2 linked regions of the Stegostoma tigrinum genome follow. The protein of the gene in region 2 purifies or fractionates together with the protein of the main gene of each other region. This does not show direct contact. Links are inferred from orthologs where the notes say so. Each region holds a gene or a part of one and is shown on either strand. Other genes may lie near its edges.

Evidence for each region. The genes of interacting proteins can lie anywhere in the genome.
Region 1: the proteins of F-box/WD repeat-containing protein 11 (region 2) and rassf3 purify together in Homo sapiens (affinity purification with mass spectrometry; 4 studies listed by BioGRID and IntAct, with this or other methods). This does not show direct contact. The link is inferred for Stegostoma tigrinum from reciprocal best matches to the Homo sapiens genes FBXW11 and RASSF3.

The regions. Positions count from the first base shown.
Region 1 is NC_081371.1:51,843,041-51,850,055, reverse strand, and holds the start of rassf3 (ras association domain-containing protein 3), read left to right. Parts: upstream 1-4,000; 5' UTR 4,001-4,464; coding exon 4,465-4,587; intron 4,588-7,015.
Region 2 is NC_081366.1:65,882,549-65,890,172, reverse strand, and holds the start of F-box/WD repeat-containing protein 11, read right to left. Parts: upstream 3,026-7,624; 5' UTR 2,956-3,025; coding exon 2,899-2,955; intron 2,698-2,898; exon of another isoform or gene 2,693-2,697; coding exon of another isoform or gene 2,678-2,692; intron 1-2,677.

The DNA of each region.
Region 1 (7,015 bases), on a different chromosome or scaffold from region 2:
ATCCAGGTAATACGCTGGTAAAGCCTCGTTTGCACTTTCTCCAAAACCTCGACATAGTTTCTAAAGTACGGGAACCAGAAATGCATACAATACTCCACATGTGGCCTAAATAAAACAGCAAGGAAAAAAGACTTGCATTTGTATAGCACCTGCCATAGCCTCGAGATGTCCACAATTGTTTTACAAAAAAGGAATTATAATTACAAAAGAAAAGTTGTATTTTTATAAGTTTCATGACCCTGGCCATCCCAATGGGGTAGAAACTGTTCTAACCCAGCAGCTCCAATTTGTACACAGCACGATTCCATAAACAGTATTGTGGCAAATGACCCAGATACTGTACTCAGTTTCTGTGATGTTTAGAACCGGCCTTCATTTCCTCTTCAGTATGGTGCCATGGGATTTTCCACATTTACCCTGAGAGATGAGGACTGTGGTTTAATGCCTGATCCGATGACAGCATCTCTGATGGCACCACAGTTCCCCAATGCTGCTGAGGGAGTTTCAGTCTTAGATAACAAGCTGTACAGCTGGATGAACACAGCAGGCCAAGCAGCAGAGGAGCAGGAAAGCTGATGTTTCAGGTCTAGGTCCTTTTTCAGAAAGCGTTTTAGTGTTGGTGGTTTTGCCTGAGTCCTGAAGTGTGACTGAGTCACATCTGACAATATAGGAAATGAACATAATAACAGCGTGCACCGCAAGAACACATTGCACAACAAAAGCAACTTGTACTTGTGTAGCATTTTGGCCAAAGAAAATGGCCCCAGCATTTACGGCAGGGTTACCAAATACAAGGATACATTAGGACAGGTGACCAAGCACTTGCCCAAAGGGATCATTATAAGAGATGGTCATGGAAATAATGAGAATAGGAGTAGACCATTCGACCCTTTGACCATGCACTGCCATTCAGTATGATCATGGCTGATTATCCAACTCAGTCCCCGTTCTCCTCCATACCCTCTGATCCTTAGGAATTGTATCTAACTCCTTCTTGAAAGCACTTACTGTTTTGGCCTCAACTGGTTTCCATGGCAGAGAATTCCATGGGTTCACAACTCTCTGGGTGTAAACAATTCTCTTCATCTCAGCCCTAAAAAGGGAGAGACTGAGAGGAAGGTGAAGGGTTTTGTTTTAAACTCACTCATGGGAGGCAAATTTGAAGAACAACATCTTATCTTCTGCCTGAGCACCCTACAGCCTGGGGTACTCAGCACTGAGTCCCAAATGTCAATTTCAAATAACCTTCCCACCCATCCCCTGGCTCCCTTTCCAGCCCCTTCCGTTGCTCCCTTCCGTTCCACCTACTGACCCTCCCCAACAGCCATCAACTGGATTCATCCCTCCCATCGACCAACCCCAGGTCATACCCACTACCAACATTCTGCCTCCACCCCACCCCCCCTCTTTATCTGCAGCTCCCCCTATCCCCACATCCAGCCCTGAAGAAGGGTAATACCCGAAACATTGACTGCTCCTTTCCTCCAGATGCTGCCTGGCCTTCTGTGTTCTTCCAGCCTCCAGTTTGTCTACCTTGGATTCCAGCACCTGCCGTTTCTTTGTCTCTTGCAGAGGTGGTATCTGCTGTCCTTGTCCTTCTGGGTGGAAGTGGTCATGGGTTTGGAAGATGCTGTCAAAAGGATTTTTGGTGAAATTTTGCAGTGCAACTTGTAGGTATTACATACTGCTGCTGCTGAGTGGTGGTGGTGGATGGGAGCGAATATTTGTGGATATTGTGCCAATCAAGTGTGCTGCTTTTCCCTGGGTGGTTTCAAGTTTCCTGGGTGTTGTTGGAACTGCATCCATCCAGGCAAGTGGAGAGTATTCCATCACACTACTGACTTGTGTCTTGTAGATAGTGGACAAGCTTTGGGGAGCCAGGAGGTGAGTTACTTGCTGCAGTATCCCTAGCCTTAATCCTGCGTTTATAGCCAAAGTAGATATATGGCTAGTCTAGTTCAGTTTCCAGTCAATTGTAACTCATAATACTGATAGTGTAGGGCTGAGTGGAGGTAATGCCTTTGAAAGTCAAGGTGCGATGGATAGATATTATCTTGTTATAAACGGCTACAGTGATGTATCGGGGATAATAGGAACTACAGATGCTGGAGAATCCGAGATAACAAGGTGTAGAGTTGGATGAACACAGCCAGCCTAGCAGCATCTTAGCAGCAGGAAAGCTGACGTTTCATGCCTAGACCCTTCATCAGAAAAGGGCCCGGGCCCGAAACGTCAGCTTTCCTGCTCCTGAGATGCTCCTTGGCCTGCGGTGTTCATCCAGCTCTACACCTTGTTATCTTTGGTGATATGGTGTGAATGCTCCTTCTGGTTAGGGGAAAAAGAATTCAGAGCGTAGGGCCTTGGCAACAGAAACACTGCTGCCAAAGATGGAGAAGTTAACATTGAGTACATGCAAATGGCTAGTCCCAGAGAGTTTGTAAATCCTGCCATGGCTTAACTGAGAACCCATGTAGATTTGTGAGTGTATAGTAGTGCTGATCTGTAAGGAAAGGTTTGAAATAGGTAGGATTGTAGTTTGAAAGATTGGATGGGGTCAAGGGTCTAATGGTAGTAATTGTGAAGTTTACAGAGAGGCATTAGGAGGTCAGGTCTGGTGTGGAATGGTGTGTGGTAGGCCTGATGCTGAGGGAGGGGCAGTCAGGGAGGAATGATGGTGAGGGCAGGTGTTCTGGAAAGAGACAGGGTGGAGGTGCCTGGGGAGGGAATGAGTTATTCCGGAGATGGCAACTGGATGTGTGTGGGGAGGAGGGTTCTGGTGAGGGCTAGGGGTTTTAGGAATGATAATGGCGGGGATTCAGGGAATAGAATGGAGATCTGGGTGTGTGTGAGAGTGGGGAACAAGGTTGGGTGGGGGGGAAGGGATCTGTGGAGGCTCGGGATGAGGCGTAGCTGAGCTTCCAGGAAAAGGTGTTACCTAGGGCGGGGAGAAGAGGCTTGCGGTGGCAGGAGGGTGTGTGGGGTGAGAGCTGGGGAGGGGGGAAGGGGGCAAGTTTCAGTTTCGGGGGTAGAACTGGCAGGGGAGGGGTATTTGGAAAAGACCATAAGCAGGAATGATCCAGATGGGTGATAGAATGGGGTTAACACTAGAGATAGACTATCACTGCGATGAAGGGGGTGAGGGGGGCGCAGCGAAGGCAGGTCGTTCTGTGGGCTGGGGGTTCTGAAGCATGGGGGAAGGTGTCTGCAGCACTGTAGTATGTTATATTCTTAACAGACCATGTCCTAGTGAACTCTCCCATCCCGAACATTCCCCCTTGCCCCCACCACATCCATGGAAACAAGCCAATCACACTATGTGTGATAACAAGGTGTAGAGCTGGATGAACACAGCAGGCCAAGCAGCATCTTAGGATCAGGAAAGCTGACGTTTCGGGCCTAGACCCTTCCAATCACTGTGTGTGTGTGGGTGTGCTTAATCTGAGCGAGGACCAGGGGACTTTGCAGAGAGAACATCAGGAGATTTATAAAGCCCCCGCCACTAACACTACACTACTCCAGATCTGGAAGGTGACACGAAGTCTGAGCTCCAACAGAACTGTAGCGGGATAATAAAATGTGAGGCTGGATAACTGTAGCGGGCTTGTTTGCTTGTCTGTAGCACCAGTCTAGACTGATTTGCAAACTTTGCAGCCGGTTAGCTGGGAAAACAAAGCCAGGGGAGATAACGACCCTGACATGATCCCAAAACAAAATTAAAATACACCTAGTGGAGAGATTGAAACATTGTGACTAGTTGTTTCTCTCTCTGCCGAGATTAAATATCATTTGTGCCACTGTGATTCAGTCAGTGGAACAAAATCCCCACCCCTTTCTCTTTTTGCCTTACAAAGGACACAAACATTACAGGTCCTTTTCACACCTTATTGTCAACTGATTTATTCCGGGTTTTGGGCGACTTTTAGCCGGTGCTAGATCTACAGGAAATCGAACTGCAGTCTAATCGCTGAAACTTGACGGAGGGGTTGGTCAGTAATGACTTCATCCCTTACAGTTGTGGGTGTGAGCTGTCGATTTGCAACATCTGATTTGCCAACAAATTATTTATTGTATACCAGCAATCAGCCCCAGCGTACAAGAGAATAGTTAAGTCGCTGCTACTCGGGCAGTTTCTCTCTCCCTTTCTCACAGTGGGACTTTTTTTTTCCGCTTGGAGAATCCAGAGCCGAAAAGTCTGGGGAGAAATAAAGAAGTGAGAGAGGAGGGACTTCATGTACAATGTCAATCGGCCAGGAGCCAATTCCGCTCGAATTGAGGAGAGCTGACAGCAAGGCACGGCTCTGAGTCCCAGCTATTTCTTAGTGCAGAGAGGGGAAACTGCATGAGGGACTGTGTCAGTTAGCCTTGGGTTTAGCGCTGAACATTGTACACTTCTGTTCCGGCTTTGTATCTGTGTGTGTGAGAGAGAGAGACACAGGGAGAGCTGGTGGAAGGAGCCTGTTGCAGATGACGTGGACTAGCACTATGAGCAGCGGTTACAGCAGTTTGGAAGAGGACTCTGAAGAGTATTTCTTCACTGCAAGAACTTCCTTCTTCAAGAAGCCTCAAGTTAAACCCAAACCTGATGAGGTAAGTGCAGTGTTTCTTCGGTAACTATATGCTGGAAGGCAATGTTGGCAGAAAGAGTGGAGGTTTGGAGTTGAGGTGTACCAGTTGGTAAAAGCGGGGGTGGTGAGCTACCCATTTGCCTTAAAACCATTGCAAAAGCTAAGGCACAGTGACAGTGCACAATGACTGTGTTAGGTGTGTATAACTTTTGAAGTGTTCTCCTCCCAGGTGACTGGACTTTGTGCATTGCCCGGCATCTGGTCATGCGCTGGTGTACACTTAAAAAGATTTTATTATCTGATGTAATTGCTGATTGTGTTTGCGGCATTCTGCCCTACGAAGTGCAGTAAAAGTGTTATACTGATGGGGTTGTCCAATACAGATCTGCTGCTGCAATGAATGTGACACAGCTCGCATAAAACCACAGAATCGTGGATGTCAGGATATGGAGGTGTGCTGTGAGAGGTGACTATTTGATTCACTAGTTTGAGGTTACACGCAGCATGCTGTGTACTCATATCCAGCTGTAGAGTGGTAGGTTAGCTCTGGTTTAATTCGTGTGCAAGACTAACGTCAGATGTGACCGTCAAGACTTAAGACTCAAATAAAGTCGAAAAGCCGAAAGAGCTGGAGCAGATGCTGGAAATCCGAAACAGAAGTTGCTGGAAAACCTCAGCAGATCTGGCAGCATTTGTGGAGAGACAGAAGAGTTAATGTTTCGGGCTGGGAGAGAGGCCTCTGTTCTCTTGCAATGGCACGGTCTGAACGGTCACTTTCTGTGACGTTAAAACTCTTTTGCTGTTCCCTTGCAGAGAAATCATAGAACCGTACGGTGTGGACGTAGGCCATTTGGCCCCTCAAGTCCACACCAACCCTGCGAAGTGCATCCCTCAAAGACCCGCCCCACTACCCCAGATTTCCCATGGCTAATCCACCCAGCCTGCACATCCCTGGACGGTACGGGCAGTTTAGCACAGCCAATCCACCTAACCTGCGCATCTTTGGACTGTGGCAGGAAACCCGGGCAGAATGTGCAAACTCCACACAGTCACCCAAAGCCAGAATCAAACCTGGGCCCCATGGAACTGTGAGTCAACAGTGCTAGCTACAGTGCCACTCCAGGAGTTTGGCTCATGCTAGATTGTCGTTCTGTACGCATCCCTAGTCCAGCCAACGCATTGCTGAGCCTCCCACATGCGATCGCAGGCTTTCAGTCCTCCAAACCTACTCTGCCATTCATTTAGATAACAGTCTCAAAGTCTCATTTTGAAACGAACAAGGCACTTCCACATAATAAAAACTGAAAGAACTGCGGATACTGCAAATCAGGAACAAAAACAGCAGTTGCTGGAAAGGCCGAGGAGGTCTGGCAGCATCTGTGAAGAGAATAATCAAAGATAATGTTTCTGGTCTGATGATCCGTCCTCAGAACGCGAAATCAAAGCACCATCTTTACCTCCATTTTCAGCTGGACGCCGCTAACCCTGGGGTGGAAGCAAGACTGAGCCAGATCTCTGAAGAAGGGCCCTGACCCAAAACATCAACTTTCCTGCTCCTCTGATGTTGCCTGGCCTGCTGTGTTCCTCCAGCTCCACGCTGTGTTATCTCTGACTCTAGCATTGTCAGTTCTTACTATCTCTGAAAAACGTGGCCTGGTCCTTTTGAGAATTTGGTTGCCCAGAGGCTTCCATTGTCTGTTGAATGCACACCTTCAGCAAAATTAGGAGCTAAGTGAAAGAGGGTCCTCATCTTGTATCATCTCCCAAAATGAAATGAAAATGAAATTGCTAATAAACTGAATTCTACTTCAGTTTACCAGCATCCACAATATTTCCCTTTGTAATAAAACAATTCTCATTGGCCTCAATTTAAGAGGCTAGATGTCACACTTCTGCATGAGTGTTGACCAAGTATTTTGCCATGTAGTGTGTGTCGCACATTTTAATGAACTTTATCATACACATTAGAAGCAAATATATATTGATTCATTCATTGAATCACTGCTTTGGTCAAGGCTGATGGTAAAGAGCATTAAGGATATTGCACTTTCAGATTAGTGATGTGACATGATTCCAGCTAAACTGCAGGTTACATTGTCCCTCATGTGACTTGAGACTTTGCTGCTTGTCTAGAGTTTGCAATCCTTTGGGGAAAGTATTATTCAGGTATTCTTGCAGCAAACTGTATACAGGTTAAAGAGTGCTGCTCCTTCAGTGACGCAAGACAAAGGACATCCTGCATCAGAAAACAAAGGCAGAATGGATATTGCACCATGTGTTATCTCAGAGAGGTCCAGTAATGACCTTCACATTGGGCCAAGTACCAGGGGTGGGACTGGGGTTGGGGGGTGTGTGGTTTGTGCATAGTGCAGAAAGAGAATGATCAATTAGTTTTCATTTGGTTGAGGTAGGAATGTTGCTTAAGGAAATCCGATCTTTTCTAATTATTT
Region 2 (7,624 bases):
TAACCACAGTAAACCTTGACCAAGTGAAGTTTCTGGAATAGCAACATCCTCAAAAACCTATACCAAACGCCTTCTAAAACTAAACATAAAACATAGTAAGTGACAAATGCAACGCAGGGGGTACACATAATTTTTATCCTTTATTTATAGCATTAATACTCAAACATCACAATACAGTGCAATTGGAGGTATATATATTTTTGCCAGTTTATCACGAGTGCTAGTTATGACAAAGTTTGCAGTGTTGCAAAAGAACCCTGAAGAACGTCTGCACGTACCACTGCGGACTTCACACTGCTGCAACTCCTAGCAGAGAGAACAACCAATAATTTTCCCCCCAAAATCCAAAGACATACAGGTTAAGAGGATTGGTCATACTAAAAATTGCCCTGTAGTGTCCAGCGATGTGCAGGTTAGGTGGGTTAGCCATGATAAAAATGTGGCATTATGGAGAGGGGAGAAGCTCGGTGTGATGCTCAGGGAAGTTCAACTCATGATCTCTGTCAAAAGGAGAAGTTAGATTTTTTTTCTCTGTTTACATAGGTGCAATTACATCAGATACTTCTTAGACCTGATGTAATTCAAATGTATTCGCTGTGATCATGTAGAACTACAATCAATTGCATGCAAAATCCCACAAACAGCAATAAAGCCTGGACACCTGAAGAACTTCCCTCATTCATAAAAAGCCTGGGGACCTTGTGCATCCATATTAAAGGACTGATGGGACCAAGGTTTAATATTGCACTCAAGACGACACCTTCAACAGTTATGCACTGCAGTATCAAAATAGGCTACATGTTCAAACCTCTAGAGAAATTTCCATACATTGCCTTCTGACTTAAGTCGGAAAGACTGTGTGGATTTACAAACTGTTTGTGAAGCAACTGTAGAGAGGAAAGCACAAGGACAGGTACAGCTGGTTGTTTTCAGCATGTATATGTAAATTATTGCTGGGTTTTCAAATGTTGTTGTTGTGAGACAACATGTAATAAGAAAAGATGTCAAAGAGGCACTCAGCACTGACACTTCTCACAATAACAATCCAGTCATGCGTCTTTTATAAGCTTATATGGTTTCAACCAGCAATTTGGTCATGTTTCAATTGTTCCTTTTATTATATGTCTCCTTCTGTAGTGGTGCATCTCAAGCACCATGAGCTGCATTGTTCTTTATTAAATTGCTGACACTTGTCAATCACAACCAGCAATTAAACTACTCAACAGCTTGATGCTCTCAGTTTAATTTACTGATGCCCGCACAAGAGGGTATAGTTCCACAGATATCTACCTCAAGATACTTGGTTGTTAAATTCAATCCCATCCCACCTAGGTATCCACAGCTACTGTCAGAAACCACAGCGGGGAGAAACCCCTTTAAATTCCTCCCCACTTCTTGCAGAGGGACAAGAGAGTTAATTACATTGTTCAATGCATCAGTCTAACTCCAACAAGCAACTACACTGCAATCCAATCTGTATAGCTAAGCATCAAACCCTACTTATTCACAGAAAGACACAGGTCAGGCAAGTCCCTTTCCAAGGAAACACTGCCAGTGTGTCTGCATATGAACAACTTCTCACTTTTCTTCACAAGCCCACCCAAAACCACCTTGAAAAAGAGAGCTCAGATCCTTGCTACACTGGACGAAGTCAGCAGTGGCTGACACTTTAAACAAAAGTACCAATTCCAGCATTATACAAGGGGCAAAATAAGAGGCATTTTTTGAAGTTGAGTCGTCACTTCTAAAATACAATGCCAGTCAGTGAAGTGTCTTGCTGACCCATTGCATGTCTTCAAGGAGGACCGGATCACTCCCTAACTGGCCCAAAAATCACATCATGGGTGGCAAATGTAACATGCTGCCCCACAGATGTCCACGACTGGCTTCAATTACTCAAGGAATTGAGTCTTTTCCCTCTTGAGGGAAGTGTTAGGTTTTGATTATCCAGCCATACTGAGATATGAGGCAGGTTCGATAGAAATATTGCTGTTTCTCTGACCATTCCTGAGGAATAATCCCAAAGACAATGCACCTTATAAAAATTGATGAATTTGGTTCAATACAAGACATTAGCACTGAAAATGGAAGACACACTCAAAAGTAAACAGTTTGCTCCCTTCACACCCTAGCAAGTTATCCCAAAACTGCTCTATTGCAAAATTTACCAAAACTGACTCTCTCAGCCAGTTTGCTAACCCATATAAATGTGAAGTTGTGGTTACACAAAACTTCCAACGAAACTGAACGCACAGAACATCCTAACCACCGCCCAATAGTGAAACTGAAGCGCACAGCAATTCCTGTACTACCCACGCAATTCTGTCATGGTGCTCACCTCCATCCTGCAAGTCAACCCTCTACCAAACTACCTCGCTCTCCTTCTATACTCCAAGCCCAACTGTCCCTTCCTACACTCCTTGCATCCGCCCATTCTTGTTGCCCAGAACCATTAATTTATTTCAAACCCTAGTGCCTCCCCTCAGCTTCCAGATCATCCTGCTCCCTACGCTGGGGTTGACTCATTCACAAACACTTCTTTTTACCTTCCATCTCCTGCCTGCATGTTTCTCTAAGCCTCCTGTCCATCCCATTTTCTAAACCCGACCCCCTTGACGTGCTCCTGCCCATCTTCAATCCGATTTTTTCTCCTGGCCGCCACCAAACTCTGTTCTACCTCCCTCCGGTACATTCATCCTCCTCGCCCGCAGATTCTGGGACGTTTTCCCCCCTCCTGCAGTTCGTGCTGGGAGCCGCAGGGAGAGGCGATGATCTGATGGAAACGCATTCGGCTCTCCGGCAGGACGTGCGGCCTGTGCCGGAGCCCTTGGCAGGACCACAGCCCCCCTCCTCCACCCAGCCCCGAGATCTCAAGCCCGCTCCCCGAGATTCACTCACCATCAGCTCAATACTTTTATCTTCGATCACTGAATCCGCCTCCATCGTGAACCACATACAAGGAGAATGCAGAGCTCTGGCTTCACCCCCCCGCCCCCCCCGCACTCGGCCCGGTCCAAACCCAAAGCCTGACGACAAGCGTCTGACGAAATCACGCCGCGCCCCTTGGTTTGTAACGTCATCCGTATCTGACGTCACGCGTTCCACGCGACCCCCTTCAATCGTCAGGAAACGCCACTGCAGGCCCCGCCCACTGACTCGGAACAAATTACTACAGAGGCTGGAGCTTGTGTTGAGAATGACAAAGTTCTGCAGGTCACAGCGGGTCAGGCAGCAGCTATGGAGGGAGATGCAGGCTGAAGCTTCCAGTCTAGACGATTCGTCATTAAAGCTGAAGTGAAGGGTGGCAGCATTTGTGCAACAGTGGGGAGAGGGCTGTGGGTGTGGAAAAGATGTTGATAGCCCAGATTAAGTGATTGGAATTCACGAATGGCTGAACAATGGTGTGTCTAACCGCCAGACTTGAAAGGCAAAACTGTCCCACAGGGGTGGCCAGAGGCGAGAGAGGTCATGTTGACAAAGAATGTAACAAGTAAAGCTAAACAAAACGGAAGAAATTGGAGTTGGTTCACAATTTGAAGGTGTTGGACTCAATACCAAGCCCAGAAGGCTGTAAATTGCCTAGTTTGAAGATGAGATGTTGTTCCTCTGGTTTGCATTGATTCACTGGAGCACTACAGCATGCTGAGGACAGAAAAGTATGCATGCAAACAGGACATGGGAAGGTGGTGATCATGTTTGCTTACAGACTGGAAATATTCTGCGAAGTGGTCACGCAGAATGCATTTGGTTTCTCCAATGTAAAGTGGGTGTTAATACACAATGCAATACACAAGATTGTAGCAGGTACTGTTGAAACGCTGCTTCACCTGGAAAAACTGTTTAGGATCTTGGATGGTGAGCAGGTAGTATGCGAAGGGGCAAGTGTGGCACCTTGTGCAGTTACACGGGAAGGTGCCTTTTGAAGGGTGTGTGGTGTTGGTGGTAGGAATGGACTAAGGTCTTCGCCAGTCTCTCCACTGCAGACTGGGACTGATTTGTCGAACACCTCCAGTCTGTACACAGTGCCTGCATGCTCGCTTGTCTACCCTCAGGACACTACAGTGTTCCGATGAATCGCAGCACAAACTGGAGGAACGACATCTCATCCTCAGACGAGGCACATTACAGGCTTCCGGACTTAATATTGAGTTCAAAGCCTTAAAATTGTGAGCCAGTTTCCGTTTTTTCCCTTGTAGCTTTACTTTTTACAATCGCCCATTTTTTCCATTTTGTTTATCTTGTCACATTCTGTCACCATGTTCTCTCTCCTCTTCCCCCACCCAAGTGGGACTGGCTTCTCTTTCAACTCGGGCAGTGAGACACACTATTGTTCTGCCTTTCTCACATTTCGATCATTCTCGACTAGCACTCTACACCCACCATCCCCACACCCTCCACCCTTCGCTACAGCTCTGATGAAGAGTCATCTGGACTGGAAACATTAGCTTGGATGCCGCCTGGACCAGTTGTGATCCCGAGTCTTTGGTTGTTTCCGCCCACTGACTGATCACTTCTCCATCAGGACCCGCCCCCTCACTGTTGACGTCCATTGCAGTACCACGCCCCCATATGTGGCCGCGCCCACAAATGCCCCGCCTTACATAATGGGCGGGGTTTCAGTAACACCGTCCACGGAAGGATGATTTCCCCATTAGCTCAACCCTCTCCCTTGCCGTGTCCAACAAAAGGTCACGAACTTTCATTACGTCACGCCCCCACTGTCGAAACCGAAACCTTCAGTCAACCTCCGCCCATACAATCAACCACGCCTATTCCGAGGGGCGGGGCAGCGGGGGGGGGCGGGAAGGTGAGGACTTTCGATGGGATACGAGATTGGGAATGAGAAAGATGAGGCTGGGATGGTGAGGGAATGGGACAGGGTGTAACCGGAGCTCAGAAAGGGACCGGTTGGGGAGGGAGGGTGAGGAGTGGGAATGTGGGAGAGACGGGGTTGGGTTGGCAAGGAGTTAGGGAGGTGTGCGGAGTGACGGGGTTGGGTTGACAAGGGGTAAGGGAGGTGTGCGGAGTGGAAAGGATGGGTAGGGCATAGGAAAGGGAAAAAGGATGGGAAAGGAAAAGGGATGAGAAGGGGAAGAGATGAGGTGCGGGTGTGGAATGGGGATAGGATGGGATAGGGAAGGGGATGGGGAGGGGATTGGCATAGGGGTGGGGATGGTGAGGGGAAGGGAATTGGCATAGGGGTGGGAATGGTGAGGGGAAGGGGTAGCGATGGGGATGGGAGGGGTTGGGGATGGGATGGGGAAGGGATGGGGAGGAACTGGGGATGGGGAAGAGATGGGGATGTGGAAGGGATGGAGAAAAGATGGGGATGGGGAAGGAATGCAAAGGGGATGGAGAAGGGATGGGATGGGGAGGGAATGGGGATGGGAAGGATAGGGATGTGGATGATGATGGGAAGGGGTGGGCGAAGGGGTTGGGGTACGGTGGGGTGGGGAAGGGGTGGAGATGGGATGGGGTGGGGATAGGGAGGGTATGGGATGGGATTGGGGAGGGAATGGGGATGGGCAGGGGATGGGGATGGGGAAGAGATGGGGATCTGGAAGGGATGGAGAGAAGATGGGGATTGGGGAGAGGATGGGGAAGGAATGTGGAGGGGAAGGGGATGCAGAAGGGAAAGGATGGGGAGGGGATAGGGGAGGGATGGGGATGGGAAGGATAGAGATGTGGATGATGATGGAAAGGGGATGGGGAAGGGGTGAGCAAAGGGGTTGGGGTGCAGATGGAGAAGGGGTGGAGATGGGGTGGGGATGGGGAGGGTATTGGGATAGAGGTGGGAGTGGGTGTGGGGAGAGGGGTGAGGAGGGGAAGGGGTTGGGATAGGGAGGGGATTGGGATGGGGAAGGGGATGGGGATGAGGAAGAGATGGGGATCTGGAAGGGATGGAGAGAAGATGAGGTTGTGGAAGGGATGGGGAGAGGATGGGGATTGGGAGGGGATGGAATGGAGATGGGGTAGGGATGCAGATAGGGGAGGGGATGGGGTGGTGATGGGGAGTGGATGGGGAACAGGGTAGGGGTGAGGATGGGGATTGGGAGGGGATGGAATGGAGATGGGGTGGGGATGCAGATAGGGGAGGGGATAGGGTGGTGTTGGGGAGGTGATTGGCCGGGGGGGGTGGAATGGGGATGGTGAAGCGATGGGGATTGGAGGGGCTGGGGGTGGGATGGGGAAGGGGATGGGGAGGGACTGGGGATGAGGAAGAGATGGGGATCTGGAAGGGATGGAGAGAAGATGAGGATGTGGAAGGGATGGGGATTGGGAGGGGATGGAATGGAGATGGGGAAGGGATGGATAGGGGATGGGTGTAGGGGAGGGGATGGGATGAGGATGGCAAGTGGATGGGGATTGGGAGGGGATGGAATGGAGATGGGGTGGGGATGGGGTGGCGAATGGGTTAGGGGAGGGGATGGGGGTAGGGCAAGGGATGGGATGGGGAATGGGATACGGGAAGCGATGGGGAGCAGATGGGAAAGGGATGGGCATGGGGAGGAGGATGGGGAAGGGGATATGGATGAGGGGATGGGATAGAGATGGGGAAGGAGATAGGGATGGGTGAGGGGAGGGGTTGGGAATGGTGAGGAGGGAATGGGAGGGATTGGGGATGGCGGGTATTGAGGATGGGGAGGGGATGGGAATGGGGAAAGGATGGAGTGGGGGAAGGGATGAAGGAGGGGATGGGAAGGGAATGGGGAAGGGATGGATAGGGGATAAGAAAGGGGAATGGATGGGTAGGGGATAGGAAAGGAGGAGGGATCGTGCAAGAGGAGGCAATAGGAAAGGGACCGGGATAGTGAGAGGTCAAGAAGGGGGCCAGGAAAGGGAAAGAGATGGTGAGGGGTCAGGAAGTGGATCAGGAAAGGGAAGGGACGGCGAGGGGTCGGGAAGAGGGCAGGGCTGGTGAGGGATCGAGAAGTTGGCTGGGAAAAGGGAAGCATTGTGGAGAGAGCCAGGAAGGAATGGGGAGGGGTTGGGAAGGAGGCCAGGAATGGGGAAGGGATGGGGTGAATTTGAGGAGTTTGGGAATGGGGGCAGATTTGTGTTGGGATGAGAATGGGGCGGTGATGAGGAGAGGGTGGGAGCGGTTGCGAGTGAAGAAGACATGAGTCAAAGTTGTGGGGGAGCTGGAGAGTTTGGGGACAGTGACAGATTGTGATTGGGAAGAGATGGGGAAAGGTTTAAAAGGGTTTGGGAATTGGGGGTGGAGCTAGGTTGGGGAGAGGTTGCCTTTGAGGCTGGAGCATCCCTAATTGGAAAATGAGATGTTGTCTTTGAGTTTGTGCTAAGGCTTGTTAGTGCTCTGCAGCAGGCCCAAGACAGAAATGTTGCCATGGGAACATGGCAATGTGTAAAAGCAGCAGGCAACAGGAAGTTCAGAATCATTTTTGCAGACCAAGTGTCACAGTTCTACGAAGTAATCACCCAGCCTGTGTCTACATCTCCCCAATTTAGACGAGCCCACATTATCAGCAGTGGATACAGTAGACTAGATTGAGTGAAGTGCAGATAAGCTGCTGCTTCATCTAGGAGGCATGTCAGGGATCTTGGAGGGGAAGGAAAGAGGAGGAGGTAAATGGGCAGGTGTGACACATTTTGCGATTGCATG